Linked DNA regions of Neodiprion lecontei. The protein of the gene in region 2 binds, or shares a complex with, the protein of the main gene of each other region. Links are inferred from orthologs where the notes say so. Each region holds a gene or a part of one and is shown on either strand. Other genes may lie near its edges.

Evidence for each region.
Region 1: probable pre-mRNA-splicing factor ATP-dependent RNA helicase mog-4 (region 2) and cysteine-rich PDZ-binding protein share a complex: the UniProt entries of both Homo sapiens proteins name them as parts of the minor spliceosome. The link is inferred for Neodiprion lecontei from reciprocal best matches to the Homo sapiens genes DHX16 and CRIPT.
Region 3: probable pre-mRNA-splicing factor ATP-dependent RNA helicase mog-4 (region 2) and RING-type E3 ubiquitin-protein ligase PPIL2 share a complex: the UniProt entries of both Homo sapiens proteins name them as parts of the minor spliceosome. The link is inferred for Neodiprion lecontei from reciprocal best matches to the Homo sapiens genes DHX16 and PPIL2.
Region 4: probable pre-mRNA-splicing factor ATP-dependent RNA helicase mog-4 (region 2) and spliceosome-associated protein CWC27 homolog share a complex: the UniProt entries of both Homo sapiens proteins name them as parts of the minor spliceosome. The link is inferred for Neodiprion lecontei from reciprocal best matches to the Homo sapiens genes DHX16 and CWC27.

The regions. Positions count from the first base shown.
Region 1 is NC_060264.1:28,957,286-28,962,974, reverse strand, and holds cysteine-rich PDZ-binding protein, read left to right. Parts: upstream 1-3,109; 5' UTR 3,110-3,295; exon of another isoform or gene 3,296-3,562; intron 3,563-3,596; 5' UTR 3,597-3,610; coding exon 3,611-3,913; 3' UTR 3,914-4,436; downstream 4,437-5,689. Other genes in the region: uncharacterized protein LOC107218174, read right to left, coding at 1-137, 329-488, 623-758, 941-1,167, 1,259-1,890, 2,150-2,293, 2,543-2,553. UniProt on the Homo sapiens protein: As a component of the minor spliceosome, involved in the splicing of U12-type introns in pre-mRNAs. Involved in the cytoskeletal anchoring of DLG4 in excitatory synapses.
Region 2 is NC_060261.1:34,123,301-34,132,570, reverse strand, and holds probable pre-mRNA-splicing factor ATP-dependent RNA helicase mog-4, read right to left. Parts: upstream 6,311-9,270; 5' UTR 6,170-6,310; intron 6,103-6,169; exon of another isoform or gene 6,077-6,102; 5' UTR 6,035-6,076; coding exon 5,866-6,034; intron 5,773-5,865; coding exon 5,604-5,772; intron 5,522-5,603; coding exon 5,280-5,521; intron 5,206-5,279; coding exon 5,003-5,205; intron 4,918-5,002; coding exon 4,622-4,917; intron 4,436-4,621; coding exon 4,131-4,435; intron 4,017-4,130; coding exon 3,859-4,016; intron 3,777-3,858; coding exon 3,503-3,776; intron 3,096-3,502; coding exon 2,660-3,095; intron 2,539-2,659; coding exon 2,433-2,538; intron 2,337-2,432; coding exon 2,160-2,336; intron 2,062-2,159; coding exon 1,930-2,061; 3' UTR 1,569-1,929; downstream 1-1,568. Other genes in the region: N-terminal Xaa-Pro-Lys N-methyltransferase 1, read left to right, coding at 6,506-6,673, 6,881-7,067, 7,147-7,255, 7,378-7,633; heparin sulfate O-sulfotransferase, read right to left, coding at 7,924-8,135, 8,318-8,475, 8,598-8,695, 8,777-8,915, 8,991-9,076. UniProt on the Homo sapiens protein: Required for pre-mRNA splicing as a component of the spliceosome. Contributes to pre-mRNA splicing after spliceosome formation and prior to the first transesterification reaction.
Region 3 is NC_060264.1:9,676,496-9,685,632, reverse strand, and holds RING-type E3 ubiquitin-protein ligase PPIL2, read left to right. Parts: upstream 1-3,530; 5' UTR 3,531-3,641; coding exon 3,642-3,673; intron 3,674-4,381; coding exon 4,382-4,748; intron 4,749-5,136; coding exon 5,137-5,302; intron 5,303-5,758; coding exon 5,759-5,907; intron 5,908-6,127; coding exon 6,128-6,251; intron 6,252-6,336; coding exon 6,337-6,485; intron 6,486-6,567; coding exon 6,568-6,719; intron 6,720-6,812; coding exon 6,813-7,151; intron 7,152-7,634; coding exon 7,635-7,722; 3' UTR 7,723-7,922; downstream 7,923-9,137. Other genes in the region: ubiquitin-conjugating enzyme E2-24 kDa, read right to left, coding at 53-183. UniProt on the Homo sapiens protein: Has a ubiquitin-protein ligase activity acting as an E3 ubiquitin protein ligase or as an ubiquitin-ubiquitin ligase promoting elongation of ubiquitin chains on substrates.
Region 4 is NC_060260.1:40,538,154-40,545,964, reverse strand, and holds spliceosome-associated protein CWC27 homolog, read right to left. Parts: upstream 5,212-7,811; 5' UTR 5,116-5,211; coding exon 5,074-5,115; intron 4,768-5,073; coding exon 4,558-4,767; exon of another isoform or gene 4,516-4,557; intron 4,420-4,515; exon of another isoform or gene 4,382-4,419; coding exon 4,181-4,381; intron 4,047-4,180; exon of another isoform or gene 3,987-4,046; coding exon 3,847-3,986; intron 3,757-3,846; coding exon 3,502-3,756; intron 3,430-3,501; coding exon 3,256-3,429; intron 3,153-3,255; coding exon 2,965-3,152; intron 2,903-2,964; coding exon 2,577-2,902; 3' UTR 2,069-2,576; downstream 1-2,068. Other genes in the region: uncharacterized protein LOC107224854, read right to left, coding at 110-143; dynein axonemal heavy chain 7-like, read left to right, coding at 6,041-6,128, 6,354-7,811. UniProt on the Homo sapiens protein: As part of the spliceosome, plays a role in pre-mRNA splicing. Probable inactive PPIase with no peptidyl-prolyl cis-trans isomerase activity. As a component of the minor spliceosome, involved in the splicing of U12-type introns in pre-mRNAs.

The DNA.
Region 1 (5,689 bases), on a different chromosome or scaffold from region 2:
TGCATGCCCTTCCGATTTCAGTGAGAAAAATACCGTCCTCGATTGGTACCGATGACAAACGTAAGGTTCTAAGATTTGTCCAACCTGAGATTAGGTGCAGAGCGTTCAAGTCCCACATTTCTTCATATTCGATCGTGCTGAAGCAACATTTAAATAATTTATCGCTTTTTGTTTTGAAAACTTAATTATTTATAAAGAAAATCGTATTCATTATTTTACAAATTTCCATCATTATCGAATGTTTATGATTTTTGACTCTGATCATGATTCTGGTACAATTATTGAATTATCATGATACATAGGATAATCAGAATAAAGGTTTTCGCACCTGTTATTAGTATCCAGCGTCAGGTGTTTAAGGTGAGGCGAATTCTGAACGATCATACTAAAAGATGAATCTAGATTTTTGTTGGTCAGATAACCCTCTTGTTTAACTGCCTTATTATATTTTCTCTTCAGTTGTTTCCGAGAGTGTACAAAACCCGATACTATAATTGTACAGAATTGGAAACCAATGACATTAGAGGTCAACCGTAGATATATAGTTATTAAAATATTACAAAAATATTAATTATTCGCTAAAACGGTGTTCAAAAATGTTATGTGAAAGACTTTCCCTTGCCTTTTGTTATGTTGGATAAAATGAGCTCGGTGAGTTTTGGAAAAGCGGATACGACTAAATGCGCATCGCAATTTGTTTTTATGTTATGATTGATACGTAAATACGAAAGTTCATAACTTGGATCTTTCAGCAGTCGCTGAAACATTAAGAATATAAAAGTATTTCTTATCACGTCGTCGCTTAAAAATTCGAATAACTTGTTCCTCAACATATTGTCATTGTTAAATGACGTCAATTTCGGTTAGAATAATTCATAACAACCCATTGGGTTTGAGAGTTTTGTTGAAAAACTGATCGATACTTAGGGTGTACTTTTACCTTTGCCTCCTCGATCTTGATAACACATATGTCTGTCTGATGAAGTAGAGATAAACAACAGTAACATTTTGGCGGGTCTTTATGGGTGACTTTAATCACTTCTGTTAAAAGGCGTTCTGTGAGCACAGACTGGCCAAATTCAAAATAGCTGCCGAAGTAAATATTTCGAGGATTGTTTTTCATCAAATTTGTCTTGCGTAGCTTCTTAGCAAATGGCACGTTTTTTTCTAAAAATTATTAGATTTGCTATCAGATCAAATGGGATTAGATATTGAGCGGCCAATGTTACTTTGAAATCAATTTATCACAGAAACATACCAAAGTAAAAACCGTTCTGAATGTAATACTTGGGAACGTGAAAATCAGTCCATTTCTCAAGTTCTGGAAGCAAAGTCATGAAGTATCTCTTCTCGGGGCCGTAGCAGGGTCCACAAAATTCAATGATTTCGAGACTCCTAAGTTTTTTGTGGTTTAAGTACGGAAGGTCGTCTGTTGCAGGAACATAACAGGATTTCCTTCCAATCATGCGTAGCTCCTTGAGTTTTTGACACATTTGTAAATATTGGACAAACTTTTTTGTATGTGGTGGATGCCATATTTGTATTGACAAATACGTGAGTTTGCTTAAAGGCCCTCGTAGAACCTTGCAGCAAGGTTCAGCGTTATCTTCCATTCGTCTTGGCCAGTCGATAGAGAGTCTCTTTACATGTGGTAATAACTTTAGGAAATATCCCAACCCCTGTACGTCTTCAAATCTTGTGCCACTTATGTTTAAGTCAACTATGTTCACTGCATTGCCGATGTAATCGTTAAGCATCTGCTCCGGCTCTATAAAATTTACATTTCTCAAATTTACTCTCTGAATGTACCTGCTTGCTTTGCTGTTGTCAAAATATTGACGGATGTCAGAAACTGATGTCAGGCGCCCGTCTTTGGAAAAATCTAAATTCCTGAAATGCACAGATAGAAAAATCTTATCACAGATATTGCTTAGTGTGGGATATAATTGGATTTTCGTTGATATACGTATATATTGAATCACGTATGTAAGCTCCATTCTAATATTTGCAACTGAATCATTAAGGATGATTAGGTTGATTGAATTTTTTAACTTCAACTGAGCTGTTTCATTTGATAAGAAATATTAATCTTTTACATGGAATGATGAAAATATGAAGAGTAAATTAAAAATAGGAATTATGTATTCACCTTAATAATTTTTTCTCTTCGAATATAAGACTGTGTAATTTTTTGCATGAATTACCCAAAGGCACACGCTCTCTGGCATTCAAATGGAAGATAATTTTCATCAAAATTTCATTGGGAAAATCCAGAATGTGACAGATGCTGGGCCTGAAACATATTGTTATATAAATTCTTTTGCGTAATTAAAATATGGAAAATATTTTGTTGTTCACTAGTGAGTGACAATACACTCGACAGTGAGATGTCAAAAATTTTCTGGCTACGCCCTCCTAAATTTCAGTTTTTTGAAACATGATTCAAATGATTAAAAAGACATAATTTATTCAAATTACGATATTGTATTCCTACAGTTTCGTAAATACGGTTTGTCAATGTTTGTTTGGGTTTTTTACATACCCAGCACTCATTTTGTTCGATGTCTTCGTCAGCCTGTATGCAATTGTTGATAATTTGCACGATATCGATAGTGACTAGCAGTTCGCGGCTAATCAGGAAATCAGATACGTCAGAGCGGTGATAAGCGTATGATATAATGGGGCTCTTCTTCCAGTGTTCTATACGCCCATTGCTCACATTTGTAAACGGGAATTTCTATTTCAGGGACTTTTAATCTAAAATACGTTATTTCATTACTTCACCTGTTATCAAATATATGATCGACTTGACAATTACGATAGAACGTGAGCGAAATCTGAATAAACAGAACTTCGGGTTATTCAGTAGTAGATGCTGAATCACTTACAGTAGTGAGAATTCAATCCTGATTATTTCATTGAATTTAAATAAGTCGATATTACGTTTATTCAAATTAGTTACGCGCGCGAAAATCGAGGAATCCCCTTGAATTCGCACAAATTTCAAGTCGCGTGGTCATAGTGACTTCAGTGTTGCCAACTGTACTCGAAATTACGTCCAGTTTGGCCGTTAGCAGCGCGCCTAGGGTGTAAATTCGTGTCAAGTTGTAACATTGTAACAATAGCATTCACAGAGCTTTAACCTGAAAAGGACGCTTAAGACTGGTGTTATTTGTTTTCATCTTAACATAACCTGCCCTTCTCAAGTTCACGAACTTTTGAAAATCAAGGACTACGTACCATCAGACGATTCGTACTGCAGTGAAATTGTGTCGATTCTAGAGCTTTAGTAACGGTAAGTACCAATCAAACTGCCTCTACTTGCCGACGCGTTCGTTTGATTCCGACACAAATATAACCTAACCTTAACCTTGACCCAGCGTTACCTGACCCAACATAAAAAATTCAGTTTTTTCACCATAAACTAGTAATCCTCTATTATTGCCCGAAACTTTTTTCTTTTCTTGTTTCTGATCTTTTTTCTGATTATGAAAGCTAAATACCGTCCCACTTGAATCGACATAAAATACTGCATAAACTAGCAATTTATTCACTGCATAAAATCTGCAAATGTGAAAATTTTTTTCCATTTCAAGATTCTTTTTGAGTCATGGTGTGCGAGAAGTGCGAGAAAAAATTGGGTCGCGTAATAACACCAGACCCGTGGAAATCTGGGGCCAGAAACACGGTGGAAAGTGGAGGAAGGAAAGTTGGGGAAAACAAAGCTCTGTCGACTAGCAAGGCGCGATTTAATCCGTACACAGCTAAGTTCGAAACCTGCAAAATATGCAGACAAAAGGTTCACCAGGTCGGATCTCATTATTGCCAATCCTGCGCATACAAAAAGGCCATATGCGCTATGTGCGGTAAAAAGCTGATGAGTACTAAAAACTACAAACAGTCCGCCACGTAGATGGTGCGCAGCAGTGCGTGACGGAAGATTAACAAGACATGAGAAATATCATCAAGATGAAGCTATTCTTTACTGTATTTGAGTCAAAGATTTGTTTTCCTCCTTTTCACTTTTGCCGGGGTATAAGGGAATAACCAGAGAGTCCCAGGGTAATTCAGAATCTGTGCGCAATTCAAAATACAGGGTTTTTTGATTCCTCAAAAATGTAATTTATTTATTCAAGGTACGACCTTATTTTCTTTATATCACGACGGTGGCAGATTTTATAATACCGCACCATAGATGATCGGTTATTGAAAACTTGGAGGTGTAAGAAGGATTATGAATTATGTATAATATTTGGTGCATTAACGCTGCAATTGTTATTGCTGTCTTCCTTATTTTTTTTTTTGTAAACAATGAGATTTATTTATTTTGTGATACAAACATTTGTTACATACTAAGCAATGATAATAATAATAATAATAAATCATGATGTTTGTATAAAATTAAATAAAATATGCAATATTGTATAATATCATAACAATTCATCTGTCTTTTTTTTCATTCCGTTATTCACGCTTATAAAATCGTCATATCCTTATGTAGTTTTATTTTCACAGTAAAAGAATTTACACACCCATACTAACAAATTTTTTTTTTCACGTGTATTTATCGTCGCTTACATAACTGGAGATTACTGAAATAATTATGGTTTTTAACTTTCCAAAAAGTGTACGAAAATATTTTCCATATTAGCCGATATTATTTTAGTCTCGTAAAAATTTCTCATTCGCTATAATGCAATGCGACGAACAAATTTTACAAAAGAAACTGAATCGGGCTTGTGTCAAGTTAAAAACCATCAAGTCTTGTGAAAGATACCCATGTAAATTTACTGAACTGATAACCAATCTTACACATTATTAAATTGTGTTATTTAAATAATGTCTAAGCTGGTCATTTTATAATCTCTTGAAAGAAATTATGCAAATTTGCGTTCTTGGAAAACAACCTCTCTGTGGCACCATGAAGTTTTTCAAAAGAAAAACGAAAATGCGCAAGCGAAAAAATTTCCGTTATATATATAATATGTACATACATATATGCGTTATGTGAATCCAAAGCCTAACAACAACGCATCTACGTTATGGAAGATATAGCAGTATAAATGTTTTTCCTCGTTATACTATTTGCAAATATTCACCCAACCATTATACTATCTGTATTTACTATACACGCGTAACAAAAATAATTGAAATTAACCATCAGGGGTACATATTCGATATACAAAATATAAAAAATCTGTATAATTCTGGCGTAATATTATTTAAGTGGGCATATTAATAAACACCATGAAGGGTATACTGCGTGAATAAATTACAAAGCATATGATAGGTACATTCGCTTATTGAAATTTTCGGTAGTTAGAAAATTTGTAAAAGCAATAATAATAATAATAATAACAATAGTAATATAGATGTTTTTCGATCATGCAAGAACTAAAATTCTCGTTGAAACAACCGAAACTTGAAGTGTCACCAATTTCTGGCTTTGACAATAGTACAAAAAGATTCAAGTCGGGAAGTGAACTATTTAAGAGTCTGCAGTAGCGGCCATTAATCTCATTGTTCGTTAAAACAAAAAATTCAAACTTCTAGCTTCCCTTTCTCTGTTCTCTGGTGATTGTCACATTTTCTATTGCACTAGGAGTAAAATAAAATTGTTTGCATAACGTATTCTATTATCGGTAACGTCCGCGCACCTGCTGATCCGATGTTACGACCCCCTCAAACT
Region 2 (9,270 bases):
TTTCCATGTGTGGGGGAGGGGGGGGGTGGGCATGACCTATGACTGCCGCCCTCTACCACTGACTTAATCTAATTATCTACTCAATTTCCTTTTTTAAGTTCTGGAAATTCATTCGGGCATTTCAGAAAAGTAGGTGTTGCAATAATAGTACTGGGAGTGTGGCGGCGTGACGTAATGTTTCGTCATAGTGCCCTATGCTCCGACTTGGCGCTGTTTGAACAAGTTCCAAATGTACGAGTATATTATGTTTTCTCTGATTGATTATTTTACGAACTACAAACATCTAAAATCTCATATGGTATTCATTTTTCTATGTATTATATGAGATATAGTTGATTGAATATTCTGAGATATTTCATGTAACGTAGATGGCACGGTAAAAAATGTTCAGATGACAAAGGTTTGAATGAGAAATACAAGTGAAAAATAGCGAAAATATCTGTTGCAAAATGATTTGTATATTGCGAATGAAGAAAATTGAAGTACTCGCTGAAAATCTATTTCTGTAATTCTCAGGGTCTATCAGACTCTGTTCTCAAGTTTACATGTTATCAAGATTTTACACAAATTTTTTCGAATTTTTACCCAAAATATGAAAAATTTGTAAAATGAGGTCTCCTAGATCCAGAGTATACTCAGTGATAGAAAAAATAGGTGTGTACTCCGAAGGTTAATGGATAGAAGTGATTCATTCGGAAATGAACATTCACTGCATAAAAATTTAGAAATTAACTGGTAGATATTAATTGAATATTCAGAATCTTCAAGTATTTTCTCAAATATGTTGGGGATAAGGGCATGAGCCCAGAACAAAAAATTTTTTGTTAATGTGATTTGTTTGAATAAAAAATCAACCCACACGAAAATTCTGAAGAAATGTGTTACAGGTTGATATGTAAACAACATATTCATCCTAAGAGAACCCGTTTTCTTAACTCTGTTCGTTCATGACTGATAGAAAATAAAAAATTTCATGAAAAAACCTCTAGGAACATGTGAAGTAAGTATATTCAAATTTTTTTTTATATTCTATTATCAAGTAAAATATCTTCGTCAAATGTGTTCGCAATCCTCGAACTGGCTTTCTTCCTTTTTGCCTGCCCATGAACTTACCGCCCGGGGCAAGAACTCTGATTTGATACAACAACAAATAAATACATAAATATGCACGAGTTTTGACGCTCCTGACAGATAGGACTTGGCTACACGAAGAAAAAATAGAGATATGCGACGAGATAACGTTCGTCCCCTAATTAGAAAACCGGACTCGAAACTTTCAACATTAAATAATCACCTTCTATTGATGGTTACTCAATGCTTTCAGCCTTAAATTACGAAAGAATAAAACGTAGCATTGGCATTCCTAAATTTACAACCATATAATTTTCTCTATCCTCGAATGAGATAAGCAACAATCGCCTGGGAAGATTTTCTTCAAAATTCTCAAAATTCTTCAATGCACTTATAGCAACTATTCTCGTTTCTGGAAAATATCGCACTTTAGGCAAGTACCCGTTACCATAATTAAGCTGCAGATCAGATCTGTATAAAAAAAAAAGTACATAACGTAATATTTTAATTATTTATTTACTTTTTACCTGTAACGCAGTATCAACCTTTTTACCTTGAGTAAATTAGATTCCGAAGCTTCGCACTTCCTAATGTACGTCACAGTTAGAAATATCATGTTTTCAAAAACTCATCCAACTGCATAGTCGTATCACTTGAATTATTGTACAGTAATGACAAGTGTGCTTCAATTAATATTTACAAAATACAATACGTAAACAATACCAAAAATAAGTGCATGCCAATTTTTCAACTCTGAATGAAGTATGAAACAAAATTTATAATCGTGCCCATTGATTAGTTTCATCAACACAAATATCAAGCACAGCCTTATTTTAATCCAACTAAGACATTTTCCCATCAATTTGTTCCATCAGGACCTGATCTACCCGTAATTTTTGGCATCTTCTTATTTGTCGAATCTTCGAGTTCTTTCGGTTTATAATAATGGGGTGCTACTTCGAGAAGCCATTTACTTTCGATCTCTGTTACCTGTAAATGATTGATTAAGTTAGAAACTAAGTTCTTCTCCAGAACTTGGACATAAGCGTGATTTTTATTTCCAAACTAATGTTAACTAACATCATTACCTGTCGCATGAATTCTTTGGTAGTAAATACGAGCTCGTGATAAAGCAGCCATCGAGGTAGTTCTTGGAACAGAGAGCTATTTGGATGGATGGAAACAGTCTGATTGTGTTTGGCTGTTTTGTAGTGACCACCTTTCGAAAGGCGTGAAACATGATAAAAGTAACCAGCCGTTATTGCCTGCAAATTAGTTATAAAGTAATATCAAATGTACAATACACACATAAAAATAACAAATAATCAGATCAAGTGAAAATGTTCAATTAGCAGGAATACCTTTCGTATGTTAATTGTTTCATCAATACCAGATATCAACTCCATTTCAACTCTTTGCATTAAGCTTACAAGTTGTTCTCTGACGTCCCTAGCTCTCTTCATGGACCTATCAAGAATGAAAATTAAATTATACTTAATTCATTGTTACAATATTCATTTGTAAATGGCAGATACTGAGCGTTGAACCTGAACACGATCGGGATAAAAAAGCTAGGACAAAAAATTACCTATGCTGAATGAAGTTTTCATAACACCAATGGGTGCTAAAGTCGCTCTGCTGCCACTGATTGTAAACGTTCAGTAAAGTGAGATGATCCCCTCCAGGAACGTGAAAATTTTTTCTTGCAGTATCTGCATGGATGATCTTGTCTTTCGGACGGTAAAAAATAGCTCCATTAACAGATAGCATCGCAGCAATAGTCGCTATCTCCTCTGAGCAACGATAGCGTTCACTAGCTAAGAGCATTTTGGCCATCATTGGGTCTAGAGGGAACTCCGCCATCCTACGACCAAGTTTTGTCAGTTCTCCACGATGATTTAAAGCCCCTAGTGCGTATAGCTGTTCTAATGCCAAGACCAAGGTTTCATGCGGTGGAGGATCCAAAAAATCGAAATGTACCAAATCGTTTATGCCTAGTGCCTTCAATGTCAACACTGCATTACCTGCATTATTAATTTTGTTCATGTACACGCTAACGGGATCTGCATATTCCTATTTTAGGCTGTTATTCTCACAGATAGTATTTGTTTCCCTAATAGTATAACACTGACTCCAGAACAGACATTTTGAATCAATAATTATCCAAAATGCGATTTTTATACTAAGTCTAAATATACAAAATTATTCTGTTTTTCCAAGGAAAGTAGATCAACGTATACTTGAAACATTTATTTTTCATTTCTAGTCGCTTTGTAGAGATATCTCTATCAGATGAATAGACATCATGTCAGTGTCACAAAAATGAGTGGAATTGCCAATATAATGACGTTCGTTGTTCTCTGCCTTTGGCGAAGTTATGAACTTTGAGACTATCTCTGCGATTGACAGCCAATTTGAAAATATACTGTACCAAGATTAATCCTCTGTATTTCGGGAACGGTGTTATCTTCAAGTTCGTGCTGATATGCCCAAGCAGTATACAAGCGGAAGCATTTTCCCGGGGCGACTCTGCCAGCTCTGCCTGCTCTTTGATTGGCTGAAGCTTTACTAATTGGAACAACCATCAAGCTCTCCATTCCTGTTCGAGAATTGAAATTATTCTGCTTGGCAAAGCCAGGATCAATCACATAGACGATATTATCTATTGTCAATGATGTCTCAGCAATATTTGTTGCTAGGACTACCTGTTAACAAATAACCAGCTCGATTGTAATTAACAGAAGAAGTTTAAACAACTATTCAAAATCATAATGGAATATTTGTTACCTTACGAGCTCCAGGAGGTGTAGGTTGAAATATCTTTGCTTGCATATCACTGGGTAAGTTGGCATAAACTGGTAAGATAAGAAGCTCAGCCAATTTAGTCCCCAATCTTCTGACACGTTCCTGCAACATCTCCTGGCATGTCTCTATTTCATCCTGACCTATCAGATACAGTCAAACTTGTTACAGAACTGTGAACATAGCTCAGCCACGAATATAAAAACAAAATATTCGAACTACATTTTTTACTTAATGCAAATTCAATAAATGCTTACCAGTAAGAAAGACAAGTACATCTCCGGATGGTTGAGTAGCGTGTATTTGAAGAATAGATACAACGCAAGCGTCAATGTAATCAGCCTCTGGTGCCTTTGTATAGTAAATGTCAACAGGAAATCTTCGGCCAGGTATGCGAAAGATTGGTGCCTCGTCAAAAAATTCACTGAACTTTGTGGCATCTAGTGTAGCCGAAGATATCAACAGCTTGAGGTCTGTACGAAATCTTGTTATGTCTTTGACCAAACCAAACAAAATGTCTGTATGCAATGTTCTTTCGTGAGCTTCATCTATGATCATCACACTGAAAATTCAATCAGATTCGATACTTTTACTTGTAGTCTTACATAGGTATATGGATCTATATAATGACTTTTTGCTGTCAAACATGGATCTATGCAATAAATTAAACTGACTGTACAATTTCTTGAAGTAGAAATTAGGTTTTATTATTTTGAAAAAAGTTAAGCATACACTTAAGGACAAATACCTGTAAGTAGCAAGATCTGGTTCACTAAGGAACTCACGATGTAAAGTTCCGTCAGTCATGTATTTGATACGGGTACGCTGAGAAGTACAGTCTTCAAATCGAATAGCATATCCAACTTCGTTTCCTAATTTAACAGCCATTTCATGTGCAACTCTTGCGGCAACAGACATTGCAGCAACTCTTCTGGGCTGAGTGCAGCCTATGACTTTACTGTCATCAGCAAAACCAGCCTGATATAAATACTGTGGAATCTGAGTTGTTTTGCCAGAACCAGTTTCGCCCTCAATAATTAACACCTGTTCAGACATAACATAAATCTTACAGTAAAAAAAGTACAAGGCAAATGAATGAGAGTAACGTAATACAGATATCAAATTTCACCTGATGATCCCTGATAGCCTGTATCAAGTCATTTTTAAAAGGATATATAGGAAGACTTTTCTGTGTCTCTTCAATGGTAGTTAAAACTTTCATTTCCTTCGGAGGAGAAACAGCTTGTTTCTTATGCTTGGAGCTTCCTGGTATCTGCAGCGCCTGGACAAACTCTACTTCATCTTCCAGCAACAGATCATAATCCTGTTTAGCTGTAAAAAATTAAATATTCCTTAAAAATTATAAATAAGCAAATCTTACTGATAATTGTGAGAAGAATTATTACCTTTTCTATCTTTTGCCCCAAAACGAAATACTGCTGATGACATCTGGTCCGACTCCCATTTGCTTTGCTCAGATTGCGGTGGTTCTGGGTCAACAGTTTCAGGCTCAACAGCATCTTTGCCTCGTTCATGAGGCATGTGATACCTTTGCACCCGTTCCATTTCACGCGCCTTCTCATGCTCTTTGGCAAGCTGAAGTAGCTGCTTTTTATGTTCTCGTTCCCTCTTTTCGCGCTCAGTCAGGCTGTTAAATGAATTTGATTTATAATTTTGAAAATCAATACTTCAATCCAACCAGAAAAGTATTCTACTCCTGTAAAACTCACATCTCATCTCCAAAGAGATATTCATCGTCTAATATGTCAGCCTCGAGCTCAGCTACCTTATCTTCCTTTCGTTTCTCTAAATACTTCCTCCGCGATTCGACGCGAAGTTTAGGAATAAGCTTATCACGAGATTGAGTTTCCATAACCTTAAGTCTCTTGGCTGCTTCCGCTGCAAATTTGATAATATTAAGTGTATGAATGTCACCACTAAGTGATTGTATAAAGCTGATAAAACAACTTAGGACATTTTGCCTAAACTTACCAGCCCCGGATCCAGCTGGTGTAGCAACCTTGCGCACCTTCGTATCATCTTTGGACTTGAGACGTTTGGCAAATTCATCCCTTTCCTTAATATCCCTTTTGCGCCTCTCCTCTTCGCTGTCACTGTCACTGTCTTCTGGCGACGATTGCTTCCTCCTATACTTGCTCATTTTCTGTTTCTAAAATCCTCAACGACTCATCTAGGCTAAGTCCTGAATTATATCACAACGGTTAGTAACTGAAATGAAGGTTGAAGCAGATTATTAAATTTCGATGTTATCGCTGGACAACAGATGAATACTCACTAACAGTTCTGGTAAATGTATGAAAACTGTTTAACGTGCGTATTTTACGGGACCGGGAATGATAATACGATTGTTAAACAACAAACCACGATACAAAAAAACCTGACCACTAATTTGAAATAGTTTGAAATCAGCCATAAAAATCGTGTTTGAGATGCACACACATTCGGGTAAATAAGTTTGCCTTTTGGAACGGTCGAGGAAAACAATAATAATCATAATAAAGTCACAATATAAAAATTGAATAACCCGGGTACATTTTAAAATTACACAATGAAAGTGATGTGTATAACAAATTAGAAAAAGTGCTCAAATCTTAAAAATATCAATTTAGTAATGGATGATATTCAGAAAAATGACAAAAGGACTGAAAATTTTTATTCCGACGCTGCCAACTACTGGTCTAAAGTCCCAGCCACAGAGGATGGAATGTTAGGAGGATTTGGGTTCATTTCGAACACAGATATCGAAGGGTCGGAATTATTTCTAAGATCAGCCTTCAAGGTACGGTATTCAGTCAAATTTACACAAAATTGTGTTTCATAAATATTTTATTGATGCTCGCCACATTGATGCCGAGATACCTAGGAACGTAACCTCAAAATTCAAACCCACATGTGCTTTCGTATAATTTTGGAATCCATCTGAAGGCTGATTCCAAAAATATATTTTGATCTATATTCTGTGATTTCCATATAACGCACGTTTCAGTTAAAAAATCCTCCGAGAAAAGAATATGCTTTAGACTGTGGTTCTGGGATTGGCAGAATATCAAAACATCTACTTACCAAACACTTCAAAAAAGTTGATTTGGTTGAGCAAAATTCCGAGTTTCTAGAAGCAGCAAAAACTTACCTCGCTGGTCGTACAAAAAGAGTTGGGGAATTTTTTCCCATAGGTATGAAAGTAAAAGCCTGAGAATCTTAAATAATTTACATATAATACATGTAATACTTTACAGGATATTACTCTTACAGGTCTGCAAAACTTTTGTCCTGAAGTAGGGAAGTATGATGTCATATGGTGTCAATGGGTTTTAGGACATCTACAAGATAACGATTTTATAAAATTTTTCAGCCACTGTCAGTTAGTAACATTTGCTATTCATATTTTGTTTCAGTATTGTAATTTACAGTGGAAATGAGAATTTACCGTATAATTTACAATGTAAAATAGTAATCTGTAACTTTGTAAAATATATTCAACAGGGCAGGACTCAAAGAGAATGGCGTGGTAATAGTAAAAGAAAATATAACAAGTTCTGAAAACGTTGAAGTTGATACACAGGATTCCTCAGTAACACGCCCACTGAAGGAATTACAACGTTTATTCGATCTGGCTGGATTTTCTTCTGTAAAGGAACAAAAACAATCCAGACTTCCACGAGGTCTTTATCCTGTTTATATGTTCATATTACGACCTAGAAAAATCATACGGAATTCTGTGAGCAATGTACTACAGTAGAAATAAATAGTTCACAATTATCACATAGATCAGTTTAATTCCGACATTGCACACAACAATAAATATATATATATGATGATTGTTAATATTTAATTCTTTGATATGAATGAAATTGTAAAGAAAAACAAGAAAGACCACTTGAAAACCATACACAAGAATAATTTTTAAAAATTTTAACACTTTTTAATTCAATAAAGTTTATACTCAACTGGTTTAATTTTTTCAGATACAAAGTGTCGATTCACTAAATAAAAATATTTCAATACTCTTAAATTTACCATAGTTTAATTTCATTTTGGTCTGATTTTTTCATACATGAAGTGTTGATTCGCTTCCTGCGGCGTTGAGTTTATAACACGCTTTTTTACTGCGTGAAAATGAGCCAAAACATGCATGTATAAATCATTCTCCATCTGCCATACTTGCGAATTTTGAATTTTCTTCACAGTTTCTGGGAGAGGGTCAATTTTTTGGGTAGTTTGTCGTAAGTGGGACTTGCTATCTGAAAAAATTAATTGATTTGAGATTTTTTTAAATTATCACAAACTGTAGTTGCGTTATATTGTAAAGACATTGCCAGTGGATAAAAGTAGTAGACTAGAAAAATTATTAAAAATTTGATTGAATTTTAAAACATGCTATGCTTTACTATTATCAATCCTTAATATCTAACACGTGTCTTACTATGCATAAAGTGATCATAGGCTCCTTTGAAAAATCGTGGTAGTGTAGCCTGAAGAGTTTGTACAAATTCTGGTAATTCTTCTGTGACTCCAACTAGGAGGTAGTGTTTTTCTACATTTCTTTTAGCTTCTGCAACTGCCCATGGATTACCGACTTCCCTTTAATCAATTAAATCATTACATTCAACTAAATATACGTTTGTGATTATAAAAGATAAGAAATTGCACAATAATTCTCAGTCAATTGATTTCCAAGCATATTAAGTGTAAAAACTTCATACCAACAAGCAGGTTCGTGTCCACAGAGGAACGGAACTTGAAGCCACATATTGTTTGGATCACAGTCAGGTTGTCCATGTCTGACGCACTCGTCGAATGTCTGTAAGATGTAAGGTATGTTATCTTCACAAAGGATAATCTTACAAGGAAGAAAGAAGCGGAATATGCTAATTGATAATACCTTGGTGTCGCCATGCTTTTTTCTTATTAAGTGTGGTCGGAAATTATCTCCATATCTTAGAAAGTAGTAATAAGATACGAATCTGTCCAAAGGTTTTCGTAATAAATTTATATACAACGGTGTACGCTTAACTCCGAATCTGAAAATAATCAATTAAGTCGTTGAATATATTGAATTTCTCTCAAAGTTCTCACATACTTACAAAGATACTCACTTTTCAAAGTTTAAAAAAGCTACGTGACCATGATAAAAAGCTGGTTTCATTGCATCCCATTGAGTAATATTATTTACAAATTGTACCTGAAAGATAAGTCTATTATCGTAAACGCTATTTTAATTCCTTCAAATATATGCATTCAATACCGAAACATTTGAACTTCTGTTAAATAAAACAATGCATTTCAGTTTTGTGCACGTGATTCTATACCAGTATATTAGAGGTCAAACACTGTGCACAAAATTTTGGATGTTTGGATTGTTTCAATCAAAATTAG
Region 3 (9,137 bases), on a different chromosome or scaffold from region 2:
GATTTATTCATCAGAAAATATGAGAAATCATTATTCTCTACACGATCAATACCTTTTCGCAGAAGTTCCTAGTGCCTTAGACATTTTTGGATTCGGTTTTGCCTCCTTGTTTTCTGGTTTATTATCTGCCAAAGACGAACCACGGCCTCGTCCTGTGCCACTTGATCCAGCCCCGGATGACATACTTGAACGAAACATAAACATATAAAATAATATTCACATCAATCAATAGATGTAGCACATGAAATATATACGTAGCAGGTACTGATTGAACAGTTACTTTTTGTTGAACTTAATTAGCACTTGATTACTCTTCACTTGCCTACCATCTTCTGATGATTAGTTCGATGAAATATGTCACAGAGTATTAGCATGACGAAGAATAAGATCTTTCTCCAATTATCATACGCCAGGATTGAACATTGGAAATAACAAACGTAGGAAGCTACTTAGACTATAAAAAGTAATAATGTAAACGGTGAATGATGTACGATTAACACTCAATATTAAGCTTGACAATTTGATAAAAGTTACATTACAAGTAGAAATTGAGAGTAGCCTCAATATCTAATTTATACAATACTTTATTTGTGATTAAATATATGTAAAAATTTATTAATTATTATTATTATTTTTATTATAACAATAAATCTAGAATTATCGATATGTGAACCAGCTTAAGAAAATCAGTTTCTACTTAAAAACAAACGATTGTGTCCATTTTTTTTATAAGGAGTGACGAACAGCTTCCTAACAAAAATGAAAAGTTTTGAAATAAGTCTCCAATTGAATCAGTTCGTAGTACTGTTGGATCGGCTGGATTTTTATTCTTCATTTGAGAAGTCTGACAGACGAAGTTCAATCAAAGTAATCTAAATACAATACCATCATTTTATATTCCACAGAAATGTAACATTGAATTCATTTTAATCGATCGAGAATGAGATCGCTCGTGGAAATAAAGCCTCACCAATTAAGTGCGATTACAATATCAAAGTATTGCTACAAGCAAAAAAATTGAAACAAGATTAAAACGTTTTTTCAGAAAAATTAGACAAAGTTTCTAGAGAAAATGGGTGAAATTTCCAATATTGCTGGGTACATTAGTCCTACAGCGATTCAATAGAGCTTCAGGAATATACCGATGATAGATTCTTTTAAAAATAAAGGAAATAATGTACATACTATATACAATTCGTGAGTAATTCTAAAGCAGGTGCCAAACATGTTGTATGTCATTGATAAAAGTGTTGCAGGTCGTTAATTGTTTGACAAGTATTCGGATAACCTGTGCTTGCCGTTGCCTTGATACATATCAAGTATCAAGAAGCGTGTATTACGACCGCTGAGCGAATTGTGCAAACAACTGTTTTGAGACGTAACGATGCAAATTTAGCACATGGAAATATAGAGCACCTGTACTTGCTAATGCGATATATAGAATGCAATGCGTAAGGAAAAAGAATGTATATAAACAGCAAAAACGATGTACGAAAGTTGGGAAGACTTACATGATCTTTGGATTCTAACCACAAACTAGGAGCTAATAGCGGCATGTAAATTGTGACGGCAGTTTTGAATCAGAATTATGTGAATGAAATGTTCGCTTGTTCCCTGTGTTGAGAGCTAAGTAAATAAAAAGTAACAAAACGGATCAAGGTGGAATGATGAGTGGCAGATTAGCGAACTATACATACGTTGAGAAAATTAAAAGCCGAATAAGAAAATTGTGAGAGCAATGTAAAAAAAAAAAAAAAAACATCAAATATCAATGGGACGAGGTATCCGTAGGTATCGTGAAATTACGTGCGTGTGTGTGTCTGCTTGGAAATATTTTATTCGAGCCCATGCTAGGTATGTACGTATGTATCTACGTCTAGGAGGTGAGCTCACGAATTTGCGGTGCTGTTCGTCCGGTGATCGAAAACGTCTGCAGATTGTAGATATCGTAGATATGGCAAAATGCAAATTAAACGGACAACACTGATTGCGAGCGGGCGATCGAGCACGTTGACATGAGAAACGACAAGCCAACTAGATAGATAAGTTAGCGAAAGGGAATTAAGGCAGGAGCGAATTTGTGCATGTATTACCTAAACGCACTCACACAGTGCAGACTTGTTTTCAGTTGCAGTTAGTCTGAAAAAATGATACATAAAATGAAGAATGAAGAGTAGGAGAAAAAAGATAAATTACAAAAACCACTGAACAAAGAATCGAGACATAGTGCGAAAAAGAGGTGACTGTGTTTTTAACCGCGGTGTCAAACGCGAGGGAACCTGTGACCAGTAGCCACGGGGAGACAATCACATTGGAATATGTAATAAGTATGTACCTTGTGTATGAAACGCGTAGGACGGCGTGTTTGCAAACAAGCAAATAGCGGCGGTCGGAACTGGCGGCTGATCGCCGGTATGCTTGCCGGGTGTCGAGGTAAACGTTAAACACAACGGCGAGAGCTCGCCGGATTTGGATAATGGAGGTGCTGCACCGCCGCGACGTGCAGCTCGGGTCTTCAGACTCCTCTGGCTGAGGCCTTGGAGGCCGCCCCAATAACCCGACTGCGAACCCAACGCGGCGTCCTGAACCTTTATTAATCACCGATTTACTTCACGCTCTCATTTGCTCACTGCCATAAGATACCACGAGCCTAAAACATACGCCGATACCCTCCTTTACCCCGTTTTTGCTAATGGACTATTTTTTATTTTCATCGGAAGCTCCGCTGCTGCTGCTGGCTGTTGCTGTAACCAACCAAAGAAAACACAAGCGCACAAAGGGAAGAATTTGAATCGCCCTCTCCTGACTGACCCCCGGAAGACTGCTGCTGCCCAGTTGTTCTCAACCAAACGGCTTATTGTCGTTTACACGCGGCTTGATGATTCTTCTTGACCGACCGAGCTTGCCCTTTCTACAATTCTTCCAATTACTCCTTAGGAGAGTTATCAAACCGATTTTTACTCTCGCAACGAGTTGATTGGGAAAGAATATAATCATCGAGCATCGAGCTATTCGTTAAATTTGGGGAGAAAATTTACTACGACGGGAATATCGGCGCTACTTCGTGCTCAAATATGGCGGTTCTATTTACGGACTTTGCATATTTTGCTTATAAAAACAGCCCACGCTCATAAAACTATGACAGTATGGATGCTCCGCAGTTTCAAGTGAATCGTTAAAAATTTAAACATCAATTTTGTTTCACTTGACACCGAAATGATGGTGTTGTTCGCGAAATTGTTAATCGTCGGTATCTGACCAATAATAACTAATTTCTTTGGCAATTCTGTTGAACATTTATACCTTAAGTCTGGCAGCACTTACGCTACTCCTATCAAGTTATCAAATATGAGAAGGAAAATATATTCAGTATTTTCCTTCTCAATTTATTCGGGAAACTATATTCCCAGTTACCGACCATCCATTCTCAAAGTCATCGAGTGCCAGGATTGAACATCACTGCCGGAAACACTTCCCAAATTTTGAAGCGCTTCACTAGCGTTCCTAGAGTGACTTTGCTTCCAGCAAGTGACACAGTCGTAGAGAGCGCTTCGAACGCGTGTGTTTATTGGACTTTATTTTGACAAGTTAACATATAATAAACTTTTTCCCTTTGATCGAATAACAAGGAAACTATCACCATGGGGAAGCGACAGCATCAAAAAGATAAAATGTAAGTATTTATGAAGCCCTTTAAAACCTTCTTCATCAGCAGTGAATTGTATAATCTTCTATTACAATTTTGAGGTTATGGTCGAATCAATATTTGGGCCATGTTAAAGTTTAACATCGTAATAATGATCTCACAATCCCGATGTTCACTTAAACTGCCTAACTTATGAGACGACCTTGTCTCATTGTTATGAACACTTGATTATATTTATTTCAGAGATGATGAATATGCAAAAATTGACAAAACCTTCACCGTAACATGAACTTTCATTCAATTTCTAGTTATCTACCTTTTACAAATGTATTACTTCATTTTCCGTACATTCTTACCAAAATATACAATCAACTTAAATCTGGCAGGGTTTGATCTACACTCCCGAAGAATTCCGATTCAAATTTCACTATAAAGTTGGAGACTATTAATTTTTCAACTATATTTTAATACTTTCGTCCTGCATGCAATTTAATGCAATTTGAATGATATCTAGTCGGGTTTTCCAGAAAACAAGAAAGCCTTTACATAAATGCTTGCAGGAATTCAGTCAATACTGAAACTATTGAATTATTTAGGGGATTCTAACAATCTTAGCATCTATATTTAATTTGGTAGTCAAATTAATCAAGGACATAGTATAAATGTAAAATGTTTAAAAATCATATTGGGTTTACATGGCAACATGAATAAGTTAAATCTAATTGTTCACTTTAGGTACCTGACCTATACGGAATGGACAACATTGTACGGTGGCAAGAAAGCGGGAACATTAGAATCAACAGAGGACACAACATTCCGTCGTTTGCCGTACAATCATTGCTGCGTGAGCCTGCAACCCTTTGAACATCCGTACTGCGATGTGGATGGAAATGTGTTTGAGCTGCAGGCGATCGTGGATTATATTAAGAGGTTCAAACATAATCCAGTGACAGGAAAACCTCTAGATGCCAAATCTTTGACTAAATTAAATTTCTATAAAAATGCTGAGGGCGAGTATCACTGCCCTGTTCTTTTCAAAGTATTCACTAAACATTCTCACATTGTGGCCGTCAAAACAACGGGAAATGTTTATTCCTATGAGGTATGTCAGGCTAACTGGAATTTTTCCAGTGCAATATGCTTTGTAAATATTATTTGAAGGTATGAGTGTAATAGAATCTCAATTAGTCGGTTGCAGATGTTGCTGGTGGCGAATTATCCGTTTATGCCCGCCATCAGCAGTTGAGAATATTGCGACGAGTTGTAGTTACTGATTTTCAAAGAAATATCTAAGTTAATCAATTTTGTTATCAACCAAAATTATAGAATTTCATTAAACGTTTGTAAGATTTTTTATGGAAATCTTCCTAAGAGGTCAAAATACGTTACGAATGTGTTCGAGATGAAAATAAAAATGTATATCTGCCAGATGTGGTTCTATCTAGTCTAGGTAGCAAAGTTTCGTCTGTTACTTGAATTCTTAATTCCAGGCAGTTGAGCAGTTGAACATAAAGACACGAAATTGGAAGGACTTGATAAACGACCAGCCTTTTGAACGGAAGGATCTAATCACTATTCACGACCCTAGCAACGCAAACAAGTTCAACTTGTCTACCTTTCATCATATTAAAAACAATCTGCGAGTGGAAGACGAAGGTTTGATTTTCTTTTGTGGAAAAATTCTTACTATATTACACCATCTCATGGGAAATAAGTAAAGCATGAAAAGAACAAAAAACTTGATGCATACTGAAAGCACTGCTCAAATGATCTAGGTATCTTCGGTTGTAACATTTATGATCTTACAGCAAACTATTAAGAGCATTGCTGTATTCAGTAATAATTTAATTTATTGTACAGTGAGACGTCAATTGTTCAAAATAATTAAAGGACATAGGTATTTACCAAATAGAAATAGAATAGGCTTAATAGAATTTATGTATTTAATATTAAACTCAAAAAGAAAATAATTGGAAGACAGTTTGTGGAATCCAGAATTGACCATAAATTAATTTTTTTGTCACTTGAATTTGCTTCTAGTTTCTATACTTTATCATTTAGATATGCCAATTTTATGACGATGCTCATAAATACTATTTTTATATACTGCAGAGATAACAAAGGAGCGCAAGGATCCCAATGCTAAACTAAAAACTGTATCTTCTGAAACCAGAGAAATATTGGAGGAGTTGAACAGAGAATTCAAGCCTGTGGAGCCTAAAGATACGTCCACTAAAGATAAAGCGGACAAGTTCAATGCTGTAAGAGAGAAGACAGTGATAATCCTTTGTCGATTACATAGCATACGTTACGTACCTTTCGATATATCAGCTTGTTTACCTGGCCAAAATTCATCTCGAAGTCTTTATTCAGTGATGAATTGTTAACCAATATATACGGAGCTGTAATGACTGACATGACCACGTAGATATCTTCAAAGGCCGAAAACATACTTATGGCTGCATTGTTGTGTTACTTCAGGCACATTATTCTACGGGAGCTGTGGCTGCAGGCTTTACATCGACTGTAATGCCAAGAGAAACGACACATGAAGCAGCGATCGTAGAAGAAGATTTAGTACGATATGAACGGGTAAAAAAAAAAGGTAAGTTTTAGTGCACATGAATATATTGTAGTAGTTTTCAATTAATGCAATTTTCATGCAAACATTTTTCCGCCGGTATTTTCAGGCTACGTACGGTTCATTACAAACTTTGGATCCCTAAATTTGGAGTTGTACTGCGATGTGGTTCCGAAAACTTGTGAAAACTTTATGAAACATTGTCAAGATGGGTATTACGATGGCACCAAACTGCACAGGTCTATTCGAAACTTTATGGTATGATTTTACAATGCATATTCATCGCAAAATTCAAGTTATAATACGAGCATTGATGTATGGAGCTTCATTTTCGGTGCAGATACAAGGAGGGGATCCCACAAACACTGGCAATGGCGGGACGTCAATTTGGAGCAAGCCGTTCGAAGATGAATTCAAACCAAATTTAGTTCACCAGGGACGAGGTATTTTGTCAATGGCAAATTCTGGTCCCAATACCAATGGATCTCAATTGTAAGTCTGTTGATAAAGAGTACAAAATGTTCAGTACTTCACTCACTGGACTCACCGAACGTATTTACCTTGAACAAAATTATTTTTTTACAGTTTCATAACTTACCGATCGTGCCGTCATTTAGATCGGAAGCACACAGTATTTGGTAAAATTGTTGGAGGGTTAGACACACTGAATGCGATTGAAAAAATTGAAGTTGATAACAAAGACAGGCCGATTGAAGATATAATCGTACAGCGTGCCCAAGTCTTTGTTGATCCTTTTCAGGAAGCTGATGAACAATTAGCAGCTGAACGGGCCGCTGAAATCCAAAGATTAGCACTAGAAGAATCAAATAAAAAATCTAAAAACAAAAATGAAGGAGGCAATGTACTCAAAGTGTATCGTAGTGGTGTTGGCAAATATGTGCAGTTCAATGACGAACAAACAAAGTAAGTATTTTGTCATGTGTTTAAAAAACCAGGAACTCATCTACATATTTAATGTTATTTATCGACTGATAAAAGAACAAAAATATATATTGGAAATTATAAAAGTCTAAGAAACTTCTATTGTTTTCATTACGTTTCAATAGTTTTCTTTGCATCTTTTGTCCGACCAAATCAAAATATGCAATAGAGCAGGGATCACTAATAATATCATTAACCCAATATACTTCACTTATTCCATATCGTACATATTTTTCATATGAATTTAAAATTTCTTGACAGTATCAAATCATAGTGGTGAACAGTCTTAGAAAACCTTAAAATATCCTGGCGTTATAAAATCCTACAATCATTCTCAATCGGTTTTATTTAATGATTTTCTTTGCTTATACTAATATAACTAATAATAAATAATACATTCGACAAATAATATCGAAATATCTTTACTAGTAATTATTGAACTTTACAATTGTATGGTTTTTGCAGGACTGAAAAGGTAGACACGAGCAGTGAGCCAAAACCTAAGAAGATTAAAGATGCATCTTATACGTTTAAAAATTTTTCTGCGTGGTGAAAGAATATCCTTAAAAATACATTGTAATTATATTCATGAATTGTATAGTTTTATCAGTGTTGAATATTGCCCACAAAGTTGAAAATATTCAAATTTTTTAAATATTTTTTTTTCAACTCACTAAATATAATATTAAAAAAAAAAAAACTCAACGCTTTATTCTAATACTAGAAATTTATCCGTTATGTTAGCTTGCCTAAGTCTGTTACACTGCAATATAACTGAAACCAAAAATAATCTTCTGAATCGAAAATAGTCACCAAAAAATATTTGTCGGCCATATTAACATCTTTAAATTTGCGAGAAGATTATTTTCATAAATAATAAAATTTTCAAAAATGAAGTATTGTATTTCGGATTGCTTCAAGGCAGTTTTGTCATCTGTGTTTGCATATGCTGTGTCAGGGGTCTGGATTTTTTTTGATTGCAAACACTTCATAACCAACGGAAATAGTTGAAAACAAGTTTTATACATGCTACATTATTGAAAGATGGAAAAAAAATGTATACCAATTACGGTGAATTAATTTATAATATAAACTACAATTGGTAAAATACAATCAGATATTTATTATACGTAATAATTGATGAAGCACATAAATCAGGATGGAGAAGTAAAATACATGTATCGCATACAAGCGTCATTAAATCGGCATTCATCATTTTCTATAATAGTATCATAAGTCGAGTAATTCGTTCTCAGAAAACAATTATGTATGTATATTAGGCAAAGGCAGAGCTGGGCTCCTCCATGTTTGATGTTTCGCCGCTAGTCTCTTATCGAAATCCTTCCATATTGTCATCGGTGACGTACCGTCTTCGGATTGTGGCCTTTTGCAATCAGTTTTTTAATAACAGTGCCTGTGAAATAGTGGCCCGGAATTTCCTCGAGGCAACTGGTCAAAGCTATGGATGACTTAGGTAAGTACTTATTAATTTAAATAATAAACAGTGACAGAGATAACCTCAAATGTCGCACTTGCTGATTTTTAGGAGTGTGCATGTTCTGTTTTTGCGAGAGTTCATTACATTCGTCCTGTACCAGGTACCTTAAACACGAACGAACATTTACATACGTTCGTACATTCTCTCGTTTGCAATTCAAACGATATTGCATAATGTAACCAAATATTCCATTATCGCCTTACAGTGCGCATTTTGATTGATGCGTCTCCGTCTCGTTAAATACGGCGGGAATTTTCGAACTGTTACTAGTGTTGAGCATGCAGAAGCGATTCATGAAATTGCTGGAGTATAATTCAACGTAACGAGTATGTAAGCTACAGCAAGCTATGCTCTGTAAATGTGTTTGTAGAATGATTATGAGTATGAAGTTACTTACGTTACTGTAACGATGCATGTCTAAGAAAAATCGTTACTTCGCATCTTTAGGAATATCCGAGATTTAGTAAACC
Region 4 (7,811 bases), on a different chromosome or scaffold from region 2:
ACATATATATATATATATATATATTTTTTTTTTTTCATCGAAATGAATAACCGAACAGCGTTTCAGTTTGTTGGTAATTGTAGTGATAAAAAACTCAAAATATACGTACCTAGGAAGGCTGCTTTGAGCGGAACACTTGCCATTTAGTTTATAAATGTTCGGCGATAATTTAAGCCCCACTATCCAGCTGCCGTCCCGAAAACGAGACGAGAATATTATTGAAACCAGCGTTGTTAATAATACGTTTTTACTTCTTTTAAATCGATCGCTAATTGGATGCAAGTTTTCAAATGATTTTTCTCGGTTTTAGTCCATCCGTTTTACACGATCAACTTATACCATGTGCAGTTTTAGCGTCGCAATCGGTAAATTCACTCACCACACATTTGGCAATTTACATTTACAATTACGATACCGGCTGACGATGTTGAAAACTCACGATCACTTTAGTTCGAAGGTATTTTCAATGCTGTTTTTTTTTATTCTTCTCTCTACATCGACTGATTTCGAAGGAAATCCTACTCTATAAGATTTCCGCGCATGTATTGTTCTGACCCGCGCATTTCATTATATATATAGAAAATATTTATCGTTTTCAGAATAGACCGCTTTCACGTGTATAAATCGTGGGATGCGTCAGTTCTACATAACTACACAGTTATAAAAACAATACAAAACTACAATATAAATATACATCAAAATGTTAAATACATTAGTCAGCGAGTGTCCGTAATCAGTAATATCAATTATGAATAAATTTATGCATTCGGTTGTTCTCGAATATTGTTTGAAAAAAAAAAAAAAAGAAGTAAAAAGAAAAAACTATAATGCGGTACTAGATGGTCCAGCGAAACGGGCTAAATACAAACTGACGAATTATCTGACAGCGAGCGTGCGCTGATAATTTTTACGCTCTACGCGATCTTATCGTCTCCTCTATAAGTTTGTACATTATATATTATGCGCGTGCGTGCGTGTAAAGATGGCAGGAAGTTATATAAGAAATAGATTTCCACTGAACGCTGTCTACTGGCTGACTGACGCTTTATCCCGCGCAAACTTATTACTAGTCGTTTTCTCTTATCAATTTTCAAATGTCTATATAGATTATGACGGTATACCATTATGTGTATTCCACACATACGTGCATTAAAATAACACAGATAGAACCGGTAATCCGCAGATATTCAACGCTTATTTCTTCACAATCGCTACGACTGATTTCCCTCGCGATATCAGGACTGCCTACATACCTACAAATATTCTGCCATTTAAAAATGATTTGTTTATTTTCTAGTAGAATTAGGGACGGATTATATTACGGCACGCGGGAACCGCTTCGCAAACACAATTACGACCAATTGCAAATCACGCAAATCCAAGCAAATAAATTTTACTGTGTGTATAAATTGTATAAGGCATTTTATGGGACGTTAATAAATTTCGCGTCTATAGCTATCTTATTTCGCTATACGATCGGTTCTCGAGCGATGGTAGATTTTCGCTGTAATTGCCAGATCCAAATACTATAACTACATGGCAATATCATCGGCTATTTAAAAGATAGCAATAATAATAATAAAAATAACAATAGTAACGGGTAATAACAACAAGAATAACAAAATTAAAAATTTCACCAACCCGCTTATTCTCGATTTACTCTCATACATTTCAAATCTCTTTTACGATTGCACGTATAATCCTGAACCGTCAAGTCATTGCAGAATTATGTGATCTTTTCTTATCTTACGCGTGCGGCGTTTCCCACGCTGTGTTTTTCATCATTTCGGCGTGTTTACATTCTTTCATTAACATTCATACAACGTCACAACAGTCTATCAGTGCCGCATATAATCTTGAATTGACTCTTGACCAGTCGAACTACTGGCCTAACTACCGAACGAATGTTTATTTGCCAGTAGAATAAAAAAGGTACGTCTACGAACTGGTTGTGAAGAAATTATTTAGAAATATTTGACAGTGAACATGGCCGTCGTTGACATGCTAATCGCCACACATCGCAACACTGATTAGGCAAATAAAACGTGCAAGGGGTGAAACAAGTGTAGTATCCGACATGAAATGTACCTCTAGAAAAAAGAATTAATTTATTCATTGGATTAGAGTTATCGATACATGATCGTATACTATATCATTTCTACATCGTTTGATTATCATCCCGTTTTAAGTGCAAACATTGCAAATAGATGTTGCGATGCAAATATTTCCACCAGAATAATTTAATAATACACCGCTTTACCTGAATTGAAACTAAATATTTGCGCTACCGGGAACTGGTAGCGGAATTATGTACACTGTGAGTTGCTTGTACAGTAAGTATGTATACATATAAAGAAAATATTACATTTAGCGAATGCCATTTGTAATTTGTAGTCAAATCCTGTGTTTAGGTTGTCGAATTGCGAATGTTGAATCAGATTTGCATTAAATGGATGACGCTTATTCGATTTGTAACAGTTTTGGAATTTATAATCAAGATCAATGGAAACTGGTTGTCAATTTTGAAAACGACACTTTTTTGGAAGTCTATACGGTTCGTTAGCGTTTTATAGTTATTATTTATGCCGAGAGTGTTCACCGTCTTTCAATTTTGGTGTTTTCTCACCGCGTCTTCTTTTGTTCAACGGATTTCTCGGATCATAAATCTCGAACCAATCGTCGGCCTTTGTACTAGCGTCTTTAGCCAAAACTGGCGTTTTTTCCTCGAACCGTAAAGTGTGCGCCATCCATTTCTCGTCGTCAAAACCGTCATCGTCTTGGTTATCTGGTTTTTTCTTCTTTTCCGCGACTTCAGTTGACTCCTCAACCTGTTCCTTAGCGCTTTGTAGCTTACTTCGAAACTTTTGTAATAGCTGCAGAGTGAAATTTTCTCGGGATGCGCCTGTAAGAATGCAGAAAAGTAAAAACACTGTATTAGAATTATACTCTCTGAGGAGGAATTACCTTTTTTTGGCAATTTCGATTTAGCTTCCTTGTACTTCTCCTGGGTTTCTATGTACTCCCTTAAAACGCTAGATTTCTTTTCCTTCTCCTGTTCTTTCTCCACCTGTATCTGGGCTTCCTCTTCTTTTGCTTTTTTTTCACTTCTGACGTCGCGTTTCAAGTCTCGAATTTCCTTTCGTATCTCCTCACTAAAAAGCAATAATGAAATTAATTTAAACGGTTAAAAGAGGTACCAGCAGCCAATCTCAATCTACTTCAAAATTGGAAAAATATATCATCTTCATTACATACGCTTTTTTCTTTCGTTCTTCATCACGATCTTTGCCCAAGTAATAAGCTTCTTCTTCGGGCTCAGCATCATTGTCGATGTTCTGAACTTCATCGATCTTCCGATCTTTTGGTTTCTTATTATCTGATGTACTTTTAGCGTCTTTTAACTTGTTCTTTATCCTTTCTCTCATAGCTCTAGCAGAGTAAAGTCCGATAGTTAAAAAGTCATTAGTTTGTAGATGAATTCGCAAAATAAACATTGCTTACTGCTTTTCTTTACTCAGATTGGCAATCTCATCGAGTGATATTTCTTCGGTTGCACTCTCCGAATCACTATCCTCATCTCCTTTCATCTTTTTACTAGATGGTTCACCATTGTCTATAGCAAGCTCTGAACTAAGCTTAGGATCGGCCAAATTATCATGAGCTGATTTTCCCTTGGTGCTAAACTGTTTGCTCAAAACAACAGATTCCTCTTCATCTTCCTCCGCTTCCTCTCCAAAAGACAGAAGTTTGAAATTTCTGCAATTACAAGGTTTCAGCACGGCAAAAATATTAACAATGTTAACAAGGTAAAAACTTCTTCTAGAATTGTGTAAAAAAGATTAGTACTTCACGCCAGATTTTTTCTCTTTCTTTTGCAGCTTTTCTGCCTCAACTTGTTTGGGTTCAACTCGAGGCTCGATGTCGGTAAATGGATTATTTAAAACCTCTGTTTTAACAATTTTTTGCGGATACAATGGACGATCGTTCTGGAATGAATATCGTATTTTAAAAATTTAGGAAAATCGTCAAAATGAATGTCACATTTGGTACGTTAAAGATGAAAATTTTTTTTCAATTCTTGCATTTTATACTTGAGAGATGGATACTTTAAAACGAACTACTAAACGTACCAAAAATTCTCAACTTCCATATGGGAATATGACGAAAAAATTCCCAGTACCTCATCGACCAATGTGTCCTCAAGTTTGAGCATGTTGTAAATTGTCTCTCCTGTAACTTTACCAAATATCGTGTGTTTATTTTGCAATTCAGGAGTTGCTGCCAGTGTGAAAAAAAACTGAGAACCGTTATCATCTTTTCCTGCATTCGCCATTGCAAGCAAGCCTCTCCGACAAAAACGTAATCTGCTGTGAAACTCATCCTGTAATGAATAAAGAAAATTCTTCAACTTGTATGCAAGTACGATATAAATATTGTATGCGTATTTCTATTTCTCATTGAAAATGCTCAACAGTAATTGAGTAACGACAGATCAGTTTAATTCTACCTCAATAGATAATGATACAATTGAAGACGACGTTTAAAATAGTGCCATACCTTGAACGGGCCATCGTATATACTCTCGCCACCCTCCCCAGTCCCCGTGGGATCGCCACCTTGTATAATAAAACCTTTTTCAACTCTATGAAAAATTGTGCCATCGTAATAACCTTCCAAACAAAGCTGTATGAAGTTTCTACAAGCTTTTGGTGCCTCCTTAGTCCATAATTCTAAGTCTATTTCGCCAACAGTGGTCTGCAGTATCACCTAGAAAAATTTAAGATTCAGCCTATATGCTATAAGCAAGACCTCAACATTCACTGCCGATATAAAGTTGACGATGAGATAAAGCGAACTTCATGCATTATAAAACTGCCGCTGGTATGAAATACTCGTATGAATAAACTGGATGGTTGCTTTTAAACCATATTAAAACGACTTGTACAATTGTTAATCCTTATTCTCGGCGACAATCTTAACAGTAAATCCGTACGAATTGGAGGTTAAGTTGTTCCGCGCAGATTATATTTCAGTATTCTTGTCGCAGACTCGTAAAGTTATTTGGATTCATACCTTCCCTGTTGTAGGCGGCTCTTGTATGTATATGTTACTCATAGTGGTCAAATATCTTCAACATATGCAAAAATATTTGAAAACTTTAGTGTCTAGTAGTTTATAGACTTTTCATATTTCCATACAGGAACAGATGGACTCATCGAGCTCATTCATTGGTCGAGGACTAAATTGTCTATACTTCCATCCGTTGGTAAGTCTTAGACTCTTAAACAAAATTAGCCCCTTAGCACACCTCACTTGATACGTCGGTACAAAAGAATCCTTCATTCAAGTTTGAAACTCTAGGCACACAAACCGTACGTAGAAATTGTTTACTGTTCATTAACAGCTTGGGCATCAAAAATACGCCATGCTGGAAGCTGTGATTTCAAATCAATTCATTTAATTTGACTATTGCGTCAAATGGTTTTATGAACAGAATTTAAGACCACCAACTTCTCCAGAGATTGATTTTCGGGTCTCCTGTAGCATAACAGACTCGTAAATCTGCCATATTAATGCATAAATGCTCAAGAAACGTGTTGTTTTTTTTTAATCATGCTCGATAATAGTTACGATAACTCAACCAATTACAAGGTATACTTATTTACCGTAGTAACTACTGACGTAACACTGCAAGACAAAGAAGAACATATAGGTATTATTGACCAAACATCAGTTCGCTGTCGTGGTTTACAAGTAATTCTTATCACCGCACACATATTTTTCCATTAAAAATTATAGTACATATAGTAATAACAAAACGAATATACTTAAGTTGTGTTCGTAATTATATACGCGCGTGTAAGGTAAAATTAATTAAACTAACATATAGCGAAGTAATTCAAAGTTCGTCCCACTGTTTTTTGCACGATATATCGTTTTTTCTAGACTTGCATGGATGATGTAATAAAAGACTGAAAATAAACTTATAGACTTACATTAAATTGACTAAAATTACTAAATACAAGAAAAATAATTTGACATGGAAAAACAAGAGTTTTATAATCTCGTCTACGGCAAGACAAAGGTGCCGCGAAGACCTCCGATACCAAATTTGAATCAGTTTACAAGTAAGGACTACGAAAAAAATCCATTACTTAAATTTAGTACGCAGAAAGAGCGAACGCGTGAAGTAGTTGAGTTAATTGCAAGCTCTGCCGATAATTTGCGTGCCAAAGAATTATTGATGAGGGATGTGGGTAATAATAGTATTGAGACACGTTACCAACGCCTCCAGTTACCAGAATCGTTTTACATCCAGATTGCAAAATTTTATGGCAATTCTATACCTACAGTTGAACATCCGATAGAGTGGGAAGAAAACATTCTGCGACTAATCCCCGAAAGTATCAGATTCAAATACCCACACATTGTGGAACAAATAATCCACGAGACGAGACAGAAATATCTCGAAGAAATGCATGGATTTGGAATTAAAATGGTACTGCATCCAAGTCTAAGGAAAAAAAATCCTGATCTCTCACCAATCGGGACTCCCTTTGCTCACGAAGGCCGGACAAAAAATTATGAAACGTTTTTGAAAAATCGTTACTTTATCAGAGGACAGTATTTTTTATCCCACAAATTGATTAGGGTGATCAAAGCCAAGGCATACTCTGGACTTCCGGACAAGTTCCTAGAATTTTCTCGCTATCACAGCTTGGGACTACTGGAGTTACACAAGCTGAAGGGTGCCGTTGCCAAAGATCTTCGGAACAGTGGGCTTCTGATAATGCGGCGTTATTACGACGAAGTAGCAAAACTATTAAAAAGACCAAAGTATCTTGATCTATCCTGCATAGTGAAAACTTTGACGCAATTCTTACGCTGCGCTACAAGACTGTTTGTCCAAGAAATCCTGAATCGCATGATAATGACCATAGAAGACTTGATTGAAGTTCTGGGTGATCCACATCAGTGTCCACGCTTAAAGCTCGAGCTCTTTTACACGAATTGCGAACTCGTGATGAATCCATGCATCGAGGAGATCTACCAAAGTTATCACCAAATTGTAGAGGATGTGGCAAACTTAGGCCAGGAAATTACTCCCTTCGAGTACTATCTGAAGATAAAAACCAAGAGAAACTACATGGACGTAAAACTGCCAAAATGGTTCAGAAACGAAGCCCACGAGAGACTGCAAACAGTCCTAGAAAAAGTCTTTCACCCTGTGAACTCTCATTGTGCCCGACACAAGAGTAAATTCGATGTCGTATGCAGACCTGAAACTGAAGCGAAAATTGTGGAGTTTCTTAGTGAATACCGCGAGTTCCACGAATGCTGCGTTGAAGTGAAAAGATTCATTGGGTTCATAAAAGAAACTAACGATATGGTTGCGAACGAGTATTACGCAGTTGGGCAACTTGCACAAGCCACAGCAAAGTCAATTCTGAAATCAAAGGCCGCAAGAATAGTCGACATCGTTGTCAAAGAGCTAGTGAGGCATCATCAAGAGTACAATAAGTCGATTTGCAAGACTTTCGAAAAATTGACAACAAAGGCATTGAACGTACCGAATAACGCCAAAGACCTATTCCTGCTGACTGAATACATGGCATACGCTTCCAGCGTACTAATTGGGGAACTTGAAGAGAAGATTCGGTGCTCAATTGAAATGCTAGACTCCTTAATAGGGATTGCTACTCTGGACGACTGGCATCTGGAGCTGAACAGGCAAACGATAAATTGGCTCATTAAAATCGGGCCAGTGTTTGAAGAAAGTTCAATACTATGCGAGGCGACAAAATGCGAGC